3 linked regions of the Rattus norvegicus genome follow. The protein of the gene in region 3 interacts with the protein of the main gene of each other region in a pairwise test. Links are inferred from orthologs where the notes say so. Each region holds a gene or a part of one and is shown on either strand. Other genes may lie near its edges.

Region 1 (4,098 bases), on a different chromosome or scaffold from region 3:
GGCAAGAGGCCCGGGTTCTGGGAGTGGCTCCCACAGACAGCTTGGAGCCTGCCCGGCTCTGCCCACACACTGCAGGCTTCTAGCTGAGGCCTGAGCTGACTCCCTGGGCTGCTGGGTGCGGGTGCGTGTAACAGGGAAATAGTGTCAGGCTGATGGGATAGATACAGAGAGTCCTGGATGTGGCCTTATCTCCATCTTCTGTCCTACCCCTGGGTCTGTCCCTTGAGACCCCACTGAGCCCTCTCTGCAGTCCCACTGAGAGCTCTCTGCATGCCCCACTGAGCATTCTCTGAGTCCCAGCTCATGTCCAGTCTTTGCCCCCACACCACAGCCCTCACCCTGCTCAGCCTGTGCTCACTCCCCATCCCAGCCCTGCTGGCAGCAAACACTACAGGTTCCCCAGCGAGGCTCACTCCACATAGAGCCCCTTTCCATACAGCCTGAGCCGCGACCTGCTGTCTTTCCATCACCCTGGAGGGCTGTAGTAAAAGTCCTGCTGTCTGTGGACCTCCCGTGCTTGCCTCACTCAACTGTCCTGAGCTCATGGGCACATGCATGTGCCAGTTCGTGTACACACACACACACACACACACACACACACACACACACACTCTTAATCTCCTAGCCCTTGGAGAGCTGAGGCAGGGGGATGGCAAATTCAAGGTCAGCCTGGACATAGCAAAACACTGTTCTACCTCCTCTCTTCAAGGAAAAATCTGTTCACAGTAAGCCTACTATCACTGCCAGGAACATGGCACACAGGATCTGTTCCTTCATGGAGCCTGAGTGGCAAATCCTAACACTTGTCCCCACTGCCCATTTGCTGGACACTGTCCAGTGACTTTATAGTGACTCCTCTCTTTAATCCCCAGCAACCCCAAGGTCACCCTTCAGAACTAACCCTTTTCACTCATACCAAAGCACACACTTAGAAGGGAAAATGGAGCCACCAGCCACCTATGGTGCAGGGGAGTTCCACATGCTCACACAGACACCTCCATTTCCCTGGGGCAGATCCCAGAGGCTGAGAAATCCTTCAGCTTCTTCATTAATCTAAATCAGTGCAGGCTTAACTCAAGCTACTAGGGAAGCTGAGGCAGAAGAAATTCTACTTCAAAGTCAACCTGGGATACAGGCTAAGTGCAAGGCCAGACTGAACAATTTAGTGAGATATTGTCACAAAAGAAAAAGTTTAAAAAAAAAAAAAAGGAGATGCAGCTCAGTGGTAGAGCCCCTGCTTAGAATCCCCCAGTAAGGGGCTGGGGGCGTGGCTCAGTGGTAGAGCCCCTGCCTAGAATCCCCCAGTGAGGGACTAGCGATGGAGTCTTGCTTAGCCTGCTCTTCAGGCCCTGAACACACACACTCTCTCTCTCTCTCTCTCTCTCTCTCTCTCTCTCTCTCTCTCTCTCTCTCTGTCACACACACACACACACACATACACACACACACACACACACGAATGCACCCATGTGTGCACACCCTGGACCCATTAGTTTAAATTAGACATATTTCTTGTCATTGATTTGGGAACTATTTCTCAGATGTCTGGGGCCCCAGCAAGCTTTGGAGAACTCAAGTGGTGGTTAGGGGCACAGGCTATGGATTTCTGTGCTCTGAGGCTGGCTGCCTCCTGATTCTGTCACCCATGCATATAAAACACCAGCCTTGACAGAGGGCTCCTGCTGAGTGCCCCACCTGTGCAGCCATTTTTCTCAATCGGAGCCGACTCCCTCGTACTGTCCTTATCCCACACGGCCCTCACCTGGCAATTCATCCTAATGCTGCATGCTCTGTCAGCATGGCTGCTGGGTCTCACCTCTACACTTCTCCCTCCAGACTCCTCCAAGGCCTCCAAAGGACCACATTACCACAAAACCTTCCAAAATTTGGGAACCTGGACAAGGGCAGGGGAAGACAGATGGTTCATCTGCAGCCCTTCCTTCCTTCCTCTGCCGTCTGGACCCTGTCATCCCTAGGGCTGGGAGGGGGGCCGGAAACAGCCCTCTCTCCTCACTGTCCTACCCTGCTGGTGCTGTGCTCTGAAGAGAGCCTGCCTGCTTCTGAGTGAACCATAGTGGGAGGCAACGCAGAGGGAACCAGCCTTGCCTGGGACATTAAGCAGCCTCATGCACTTCCTGCCTGCGCTAGGCAGAGGGCAGTTGCTGTCTCCTGCCCTCTGTGTCCTCCCCTCCTCCAGGACGGTGGATGGTCATGTCTGCAGGGGTACGATGCATACACCCTTGTTATCTGAGTCCCCATCTCCTAACCAAGTCCCACTTTCCTAGAGCAGACATCTTCTCTCTCCTGGTGCTCATTTATTCTCCGTGTGCCCCAATAACTGGCCACCCAACACACCTCCATCTGTTTCCTCCCCCAGTGCATTTAAATTACTGTTCATGTACTCAATTACCCCTAGATACCGTCCCTACTCTCACCCCCTGAGAAACCCTCAATCATGATATTATGGTATAATCACTTCCTGTCCACCCCGGCACCCCCACTCTGTTCAGATGTCTCAGGTAAACCCAGACTTCTCAGACCTGTCCCCAGGGTTTCCTGATTCCACTGGGTGGGTCACTCCAGTTGTCTAGTCCAGTCTCACAGAGGTGAGCCATTAGGGACAATCAGCTGACGGGGAGGGTAGTTCTCCCATCCCCATCAAAGAATCTGTAAGCTGGAAGGTTTTAGGGGTCTTTAACTCCAGTTTCTGTGTAGCAGGTACAGTCAGAAGAGAGTCAGGGAGAGTTGGGGAGCAGAGGCAAAGGGACCCCCAGGGCTCTGGGTGAAGGAGACCCCAGGGCTGCTCACCTGAGTAGCTCAACAGGCTTCGAGGTTCCGGGAGAAAGCAGAGTATGGACTCCCAAGCCAGGGCAGCCTTTATCCACACCGCCACGCCCTGAGCAAACCTGGGCAGGCAGGCACAAGTCAGGTCTCCCTGAGGCGAGGGACGCCCCCACTCCATTCCTCCCTTAAAGAGACAGTTCAACCCGGTCTCCAGCTGTAGTAGCCTCAGGTGAAGTGAAAGGGGAATCAGGGCGGGCTGGAGATTGGCATCTTAAAGGAGGGAAGACGGTATATCTGGTCTCCTGAACATCAAAGGAGACCTGGAATGGGGACGATTCTGGGGTCCTTAAGGACAGGCCCTCTTTCTGGAGTGATGTGGGAGAAAGCTTGGAGCATCCATGTAACACTTCTCTGATAAGCAGAGGTAGGGGTGTGGCCTTTTCTTTGAGACAAGGTGCCACTACGCAGCTCTGGCTGGCCTAGGAGCTCACATTGTAGACCAGCCTGGACTTGATCTTACTGATTTCCACCCATCTCTGTCTCCCCAGGCTGGGATTAAAGACACAGAGCACCAGTTGTGGTTGTTTGGGGATGGGCCTGGTGGCATTTATAGGGAACTAAAGCCCACTTTCCATCCTGCATCCCTTGTTGGCAGGAGGTTTGGTATGACCAAAGTTGTAATAGGAAACACTCAAGTGGTCGGTAGAAGTGGGGGTTTCTGGTTCTTGGGGTTCGTAGTCCAGGCCCCTGGAGACTGAAAGCTGAACTGGCTTTCTATGTCCCTCCCAGGGATGAGAAGCTGAAGGGTGGATGCTCGACCTACCCAGTGGGTGTGGGTGTGGATGTCAAAATTGCCCTCCTCCACTGCAGATGAGCCCCCTGTACTCCTCAAGCCCCCTCCCTTCCTTGTCCCCCTCCAAATGGCACTCCTTCCGCCTGGGGTCTGTACAGGCTCCCACATGGTCCCTGTTGGAGGTGCCCCCTCCCCCCAAATTCTGCCTCCTCACACAGAAGGACTTTTGTCTGGGGTCTGGATAGAGAACAAGGCACCATTGAGTGTCTGGCAGAGGATTGGGGTCACCGGGAGGGGCAGGGCCAGGAAAGGGGTGGCTTCTATTCGGCCACCAGCTGGACTCCAGACGACCCCCAACACTATGGTGAAGGCGGTAGGGTGGAGACACCAGGCTTGGGAGAGGCTGCTATTGTGGGTGTGGAGAGAAGAGTTTAAGGGAACTTAGGGTCAAGGGTCTGCGGGGCAAGGAAAAGGACTCCCTACTTCCCACCATGCCCCCCCTCCTGATGTAGCTCACTTAG
Region 2 (4,240 bases), on a different chromosome or scaffold from region 3:
GGAATTCACTATGCAGAACAGGCTGGCCTTGAACTTACAGTGATCCACCTTCCTCTGCCTGTCTGCAGGGCTCCTAGACTATTCTTAGCCTAGGATCCATGTGAAGCAGGCTTCAGTAGCACCTGCCCATAATCCCAGAATTCCTATAGGAAGATCAGAAACAGATTGGAAGCTTTTTACGCCACCTAGGGAGCCATACACACAATAAAAAAGACCCTGTCTTAAACAGGGTGGAGGGTTAGGACCAATACCTGGAGTTGTCCTTTGATCTCCACACATGTGTCCTGGTACACACATGCCTACACTCAACATACATGAACAAAGACACATATCTACATACACACATATCACACATAGGGTAAAAAGAATTAGGACATTATAGCTACAACTAAAGTCCTGCTGGGCATGTTGTCATACATTTAATTTCAAGACTTGGCATGTAGAAGCAGGAGGACCAGCAGTTATATGTAATATATATATATATATATATATATATATATATGTTACATATGTATATGTAAAAATCTATACATACAGGAATAGGTACTGGTAATAGCTACACAACACTGTGAATATAATTTATACCATTTAATTGTATTTTTTTGAGACAGGGTTTTTCTATGTAGTCCTGGCTGTCCTAGAACTCACTCTGTAGACCAGGCTGCCTCAAACTCACAGAGATCCACCTGCCTCAGCCTCCAGAGTGCGGGGTTAAAGGCGTATACCACCACTCAGCAGCTGCCTGAGAGATAGATGGATCCAGCTAAAAAGGACTAGTCCAGCTGCCCTGACACTGTAGGTGGTCGGGGCAAAAAGCTCAAACATGAGGGTTGAAAGCAATGTTCCAAACATTCCCTCACTGAGTGATACATAAAACAGAACACTCTCAGGAAAGAACACTAAGCAGAAAAAAGCAACCATAGGTTCAGGTTTATCTCCACATGTGCTTCTGAACCTTCCATGTTCTTAAAGAACATATGTCAACCTTAAGTCATTATCTATGTCCCCAGATCCATCCTCTTATGAGCCATGAAAGCTTTGATATCAAGTCACAATCGGAACTTCAGCTCATCGAACGTAGAAATAGAAGATCTCTCACCCAAGAGTGTGTGTGGAGGAAGTGGAAATGGGGGTTCTGGTGGTTTAAGCCAGTAATTCCAACATTCGAGAGACTGAAGCAGGAGAATTGCTCCAAGTTTGAGGACAGCCTGGGTTACACAGAGTTCTAAGCAAACATGAACTATAAAATGTATAGTGCCTTAAAGTCTACAAGTAGATTTTATTTTGCAACAATGACTCCGGCTCTTTGTAGGAAGGTAGGCGGTTCAGCTTTAGCACAAGAGGTGTGCACAGCCACACTCGGTACCTCCTACCCAGCCTCTGGAGAAGAGGGAGGAGACGAGCCTGGAGGTGGAGCCTGCGTGAGGACCTGCGGACCCACAGCGCAGCCTATGGGCCCATGGCAGAGCGACGCCTGTGGGTAGTGGCGTTCTGCGGGCGGCCATTGTCTTGCCTGCTAAGCTTTCCTACGTGACTCATTTGCTTCACCTAACCGGCAGAGCGAGACCACTGGGGAACTCCCTGATCGGTCTGCGTCTCCCTACACCCAGGCAACATCCTTGGCCTGACCATTCTCTGCCACCAGCCTCGAGAGGAGCGACCTGAGCCCCGGGCCTAGCACTGGAGGGACCCGGGTCGAGGAGGACCATTGCTACGTTCCATTCCTGGAGACTTCTAATAGCCAGACTGTGAGGTGGGACAGATTTCTAAGGCTCTCCTGGCCAGACAGGGCTTCTCCCAGCGCTCATGAGGAACTGAGCCCGGACTGGTGTTTGGAAGAACAAGTCATAGCACCGATCTCGTCCAGCACAGACTTGCCCCTGCCCCCACTCCCAAACCTACTCTCTCCTGTTTCGTTCCTCCAAGAACCCACAGTTCACAAACAGTGCACCTGCCGGAGGTCCCAACCCAGCGGGAGAAGTGGACATGAGGTTGGCAGGTGGGTGGCTTCCACAGCAAACTGAAGAGAGTTCAGGTGTCCTAGTGTCTGTGTTAGGAGGGGACTGGGTGATCACTGGTTTGTTTATTTATTAATGGATGACTGTGCAAACTCATTTTCTTTCACCTCTGAGGACTAAAGCTTCCCAAACTATTAAGTTAAGGATTGATTTTTATATATCACAAATAACAGACCAGCTGCCTTTTGGAAAATTAATTGTGAGAAATATGCTCCAGGGAGCCTAGTGGCTGGATAGAAAGGAGTGGAGAGTAGACAAAGAGAGGCATGGCCTTAGAAGAGAACTGACTTAGGTGCCTGTGAGGTTGGGTGCGATCTGAGTGGCAGCTCTGCTGTCAGCTGGACTACTAATATGAATGTTCCTTGGAGGGACTGTTTGGGGTAAGAGTAGAATTTGAGAACTGGTAAGATAGCAGCTTTGTGGATAAGTCCAAATTGGACATTAAGGAACTGGCTGGAAGGGTATGGGTTCGAAGACTGGAGGTGTGGGTGTCATTGTTGCATGGTGAAATCTCCCACATAGTATGAAGATGGGAGAAGGCAGTCTGGAAAATAACACCTTTTGAGGAGAGAGTAATGGAACACAATCTAACCAACAAAGAGGAAGTCCCAGATGATGGGGTCAGGAGACGGTAGTGTCCTGGAATCTATAGTGAAGTGTTTGCATCAGGAGGGCTTGGACAGCCCACTGAGAGGTCCAGAAAGAGCATATAGACAATCAGAAATGTGACATCATGAAAGACATAGGTGGTCTGGTTTGGAAGGTCATTTAGTTGGTGTTGTGGGAGCAAGGCTAGATTAGAAGATTTTTTGGGGAGAGAATTGGGGAGTGAGGTGATAGAAATCACAATGTAAATTACTTTTATGTGTATGCTGGGGGATGGAAGCCAGGGTCTTATTCATGCTGGGCAAATGCTCTGCCACAGAGCTATCCCAAGCCAGAATATAAATTTTTAAAGACTTTGGTGAAAAGTGGAAGATGAAGAGTCAGTGAATGATATTTTTCTTGCAGGAGCTCTGTTTCATCTTTATCTTACTAAGTTAGGACCTGTTGATAATATGAGAGAAAGTAAGATAGAAAGTAGTCTTAGCACAATATATCTGAGACAGGAGAGAACTTGATGGATCTTGAAACAGGTAGAAGGACTGGTCTTCACCAGGAGTATAGAGCTTCCATTAGAACAAGAGGACAGGCAAAGCAGATGGGTGAACAACTAAATATACTGATAGTTTCAGAGGCAAGATGCTGAGGTTGTTGCTATGGAACCTGCCCAGAACATGAGTTCTAAAAGGCCCCTCCAAACCTGCAGGGGAGACCCAAATAGAGCAGCCTCAATGTTTGGACTCACTTTCTTTCCTCTACTAGGAGGAAGTTCAAATCTCTCTCTTGGGTCTGGTGGGTAGCAATTAGCCCCCCACCTTCCAATCCTACCATCACCTGTTCCCAAGTAGAAGGAGAGATCTGGTCATGTGAAGTAGTGGGTTATTGCAGGGTTTGTTCCCTGATGTCTGAGATAGTCCTGCTTTGTGTCTATCCTGCCTGCAGGCCCCCTGCGCATCGTGGCCCTAATCATCGTTATGGGTCTCACCTGGATCCTAGTCACCATCCTCCTAGGTGGTCCTGGTGTTGGCCTTCCTCGAATTCAGCAATTCTTCACCAGTGAGTGTGGGGACCCTCTTGATTCACTATAGAGGTTATGGTGGTTGGGTTTTCCATTCCCTTCTTGGCAGGCTTCATTGCTGCCCTAGGCCTATCTTCTAACACAAATGCAGCCTTGTTCCTACAAACCATCCTAGAGAACATCCCTAATTGCAATCAATATTGAGTGGAAGTTGATAGAGTAGGAGTAAGGAGTAGAAAGGCCTCCATTGAATATTGATCATCTTGGACTTTCGGTTGGGCTCTGAGACACACAAGGGATTCTATACCTTGTCACTGGTGCCAAGTCACATAAGCACTGTTTACAATTCCAGTTCATTCTTTTCCTGGAGCAGGCAGTTTTACATCAGGGCATCATTGAGACTTGAGCAGGGAAAATGCCAAATATAGCCTGACTTGAACCCGAGTCCCTGAGCCTAGTTACTCTGCTGTAGACTCCTGGAGGCCTCTATGCTAACAGAAAAAACTCTCTACCTACAGGCCCAGAGAACTCAGTGACTGCAGGTAAGTCTCCTGTCCCTTCCCTCTTCCCTCCTGTGCCTGCATTTCATACTGCCTTTTGT
Region 3 (2,930 bases):
GTATGTAGTGGGGCTAGAGAGCAGGTAAATGGGCATGGGGGAAGCTAGAAACCTAAGGTTTCGAAGGGAGGACACACAATATTTGGATATCCATGTGTCCTTGTATCCATGTTGTCCTCCAGGGTCTTGAAATACACAGCCCAGAATCAGGAGCTTCAGAACAAGGTGCAGCATCTGGAGGAACAGAATCTGTAAGTGGCCATTTGAAGCCATTCATGTTTTTAATGCTTTTTTACTCTTTCCCCTGGTCCACGCGACTTCTAAATGCAGACATCAGAGTGATGGAGAATAAACTTAAAGGTAGCTAAGGAGCAGTAAGTACCAAGTTAAAGAAGTAAGAAAAGGCTGAATGCAGGTCATCAACATCAGAGCGGTTGCAGTCATGGGCATGGGACTCGGAGAAGACACATATTGTGCTTGGCTGGACACTAGCTCTGGGGGGTTGGCCCAGGGGTAGAGAACACAGTGCTGGGTGAGGCATGCAGAGTTTAAGGCATTAGAGAGCTTAAAATAAGAAAACTCTGGCTTTTAAGTGCTGGACACTTGTCCTGTGGAGATGTCCACACAGGAGGTGGAGTTTGTTTAAGTCAGGGCAGAGAAGTTTTACTTTTTGTCTCACTAAGGGATCACAGGCATTTGTGCACAATAAAGTCATTTGGGGAAAAAGGAGCAAGGAAGCGGAGGCTGGGTCCACAGCACCAGTGGAGAGGGTGGCTTAAACAGGAGGGTTTCACTGTGACTTGGACACTAGGCCGGAGCATGCCCACCAGTTTCCTCTCTTCTCTTAGGTCCCTTCTAGATCAGCTGAGGAAACTTCAGGCCATGGTGACTGAGATAGCAAACAAAACCAGCAGTGGCAGCACTTGCGTTCTGGTGAGGAGGGGGACAAGAGACACTTTCCTTGGCAGGGCTGGGGTGTATGACCCAGAGCCCATCACCTCCCTTTCCCTGTGTTCTAGGTCCTCCTGCTGTCCTTCTGCCTTCTTCTGGTACCTGCTATGTACTCCTCTGATGTGAGGGGGAGTGTGCCCGCTGAGTATGTTGGTAAGAGGCTTGAGGCGTGGGCTGTGGTAGAGGGCTTCTTCTGTGTTGTCTCCTGACAAGTCTCTTTCTCTTCAGTGTTGCACCGCAAGCTTCGTGCCCTGCCCAGCGAGGACCAGCATCAGCCGAAGCTGTCTGCCCTACAGCCAGAGCTACCAATGGGCAGCACAAACCAGTTGGAGAGCTCAGAACATACATTCCTGGCCCCCAGCAATGTTTCCTGCCTGAACCACATGGCTCAAACAGAGCAACCCCCGCACTGGCCACTCCTTGATCTTTCTTCAGAGATGCCCTTCTCAGGCTCCGACCTTCTCCTGCAAGCAAATCTTACAGAAAGTGGAGGATGGCTCTCTACCCACAGCCCTTCTTCGATCATCTTACAGGGCAGGTATTCAGGTTAGGTGTGAGGATATGGGGTGTCCTCAGCCCAAGGACTCCTGTCTGTATTCACATAAAAAGGAGTAGGGGAGAGCCAGCCTTTGCTCACGGGCCTGTTAGGATGCCCAGGAACTCACCACACTAACTAGTTGTATGAGCATTTTATTTATACCCATGTGTATCTGTTGTCCCATGAATAGATTTGGAGAAATTTACTGGCCTTGAATACTTCATCCACAGAAGGAATGGGAAGGATAAGAAATAAATAAGTGGTTCCTCAGCCCCTTCTTACTGGCACAGCGGGGTAGGAAGAGGAGGGGCATGATTGTCCTATTGGCTCAGGGCTGCAGGACTTGTGGGAAGAGGCAGGGAAGCCCCGTGCGGAGGCTGGGCCTCCACAGCTCAGTGGGATCGCTCTGGACGTAGGTTTACAGTGATCTCTTTGGTCCGCATTCAGGCTGTGCTGGGTGCTGTGCCTTGTGTGACTGCTGGCCGGCTGCTGTTCTTTTTATGCTGCTGCTGTTGAAGGGCCAGCTGCATGGCCCAGATGCTCAGGGGCCGCATGTAGGCCAGGGAGCGGAACACTCGCTGCTGGCAGTATGCCTCTGGGGTCTGGAAAGCCAGGCCCAGGCGTTCCCATACAGTGCGGTAACAGCCTTCAGCTGTCCGGAAACCTTCCCAAGTCAGGCCCTGTAGGGAGAGGTAGAAGCCACACATAATAGCTAGTTCTCAGCACAATTTCCTTAGCAGATAAGGCAGTAAGCTGTTTGCCCTAAAGGCAAGAACTTAAAAGGCAAGAGGTGGAAGGCATATCCGGGAAGAGGGAGCTCTGTGGATGGGTAAGATGGCATTAGGTGGGGTTGGGGATTTAGCTCAGCGGTAGAGCACTTGCCTAGCAAGCGCAAGGCCCTGGGTTCGGTCCCCAGCTCCGGAGGGGGGGGGGGGAGATGGCATTAGGTGTTCTTGGAATAAACTGAATGGCTGAGGAAGTCTTCTGGACTAAGGTACAATGGTGAGGGGATGGGAAGAGAGTACATTACCTCTTGGATCATGGTGGCTGCCAGCCCATAGACCACGCCCACCCAAACTTCATCAGACTGCACACTGGACCTATCAGGGACACCATGAGGCTGCATCCCATTCACAGCCCCCATGGCTCCTCCTGCGAAGGCTTGGACATTGAGCTCAAAGATGGTTTTGAGAGCACGGACAACATGCAGGGTAGGGAATACCTGGAGGAACGGCAAAGGCGGAGTCAGACTTGCCTCCCACCTCCAGGGAAACCCACACTTCTCTGGGTCTTCTACTCGCTCACTTCAGTGTCTCCTTCTCCCAGGCCGCAGGCCCTCAGGAACCACTGCCCAGCACACTGGTCAGACATGACGCTGCGGGACTGTGGCTGGGAGCTGCTGTCGTAGTTGTAATAGCGTCCTGGAATAGAGAGGGAGCAGAGTAAAGTTGCTGTATCCTGAGGTTGGGTTTTAAGATGCCCCAGGTTGCTTTTACTCACC

The links.
Region 1: the proteins of Creb3 (region 3) and Fxyd3 interact in a two-hybrid assay, tested with the Homo sapiens proteins (2 studies listed by BioGRID and IntAct). The two-hybrid records come from large-scale screens. The link is inferred for Rattus norvegicus from reciprocal best matches to the Homo sapiens genes CREB3 and FXYD3.
Region 2: the proteins of Creb3 (region 3) and Fam3a interact in a two-hybrid assay, tested with the Homo sapiens proteins (2 studies listed by BioGRID and IntAct). The two-hybrid records come from large-scale screens. The link is inferred for Rattus norvegicus from reciprocal best matches to the Homo sapiens genes CREB3 and FAM3A.

The regions. Positions count from the first base shown.
Region 1 is NC_086019.1:95,436,878-95,440,975, forward strand, and holds the start of Fxyd3 (FXYD domain-containing ion transport regulator 3 precursor), read right to left. Parts: upstream 2,826-4,098; 5' UTR 2,809-2,825; intron 1-2,808. UniProt on the Homo sapiens protein: Associates with and regulates the activity of the sodium/potassium-transporting ATPase (NKA) which transports Na(+) out of the cell and K(+) into the cell.
Region 2 is NC_086039.1:157,323,788-157,328,027, reverse strand, and holds the start of Fam3a (protein FAM3A), read left to right. Parts: upstream 1-1,415; 5' UTR 1,416-1,748; exon of another isoform or gene 1,749-1,926; 5' UTR 1,927-1,986; coding exon 1,987-1,999; intron 2,000-3,561; exon of another isoform or gene 3,562-3,563; coding exon 3,564-3,677; intron 3,678-4,157; coding exon 4,158-4,181; intron 4,182-4,240. UniProt on the Homo sapiens protein: May act as a defensin against invading fungal microorganisms.
Region 3 is NC_086023.1:62,616,611-62,619,540, forward strand, and holds the end of Creb3 (cyclic AMP-responsive element-binding protein 3), read left to right. Parts: coding exon 1-24; intron 25-122; coding exon 123-191; intron 192-788; coding exon 789-873; intron 874-959; coding exon 960-1,044; intron 1,045-1,119; coding exon 1,120-1,442; 3' UTR 1,443-1,872; coding exon of another isoform or gene 1,873-2,109; 3' UTR 2,110-2,409; downstream 2,410-2,930. Other genes in the region: Gba2 (non-lysosomal glucosylceramidase), read right to left, coding at 1,873-2,109, 2,460-2,651, 2,735-2,850, 2,930-2,930. UniProt on the Homo sapiens protein: Endoplasmic reticulum (ER)-bound sequence-specific transcription factor that directly binds DNA and activates transcription. Plays a role in the unfolded protein response (UPR), promoting cell survival versus ER stress-induced apoptotic cell death.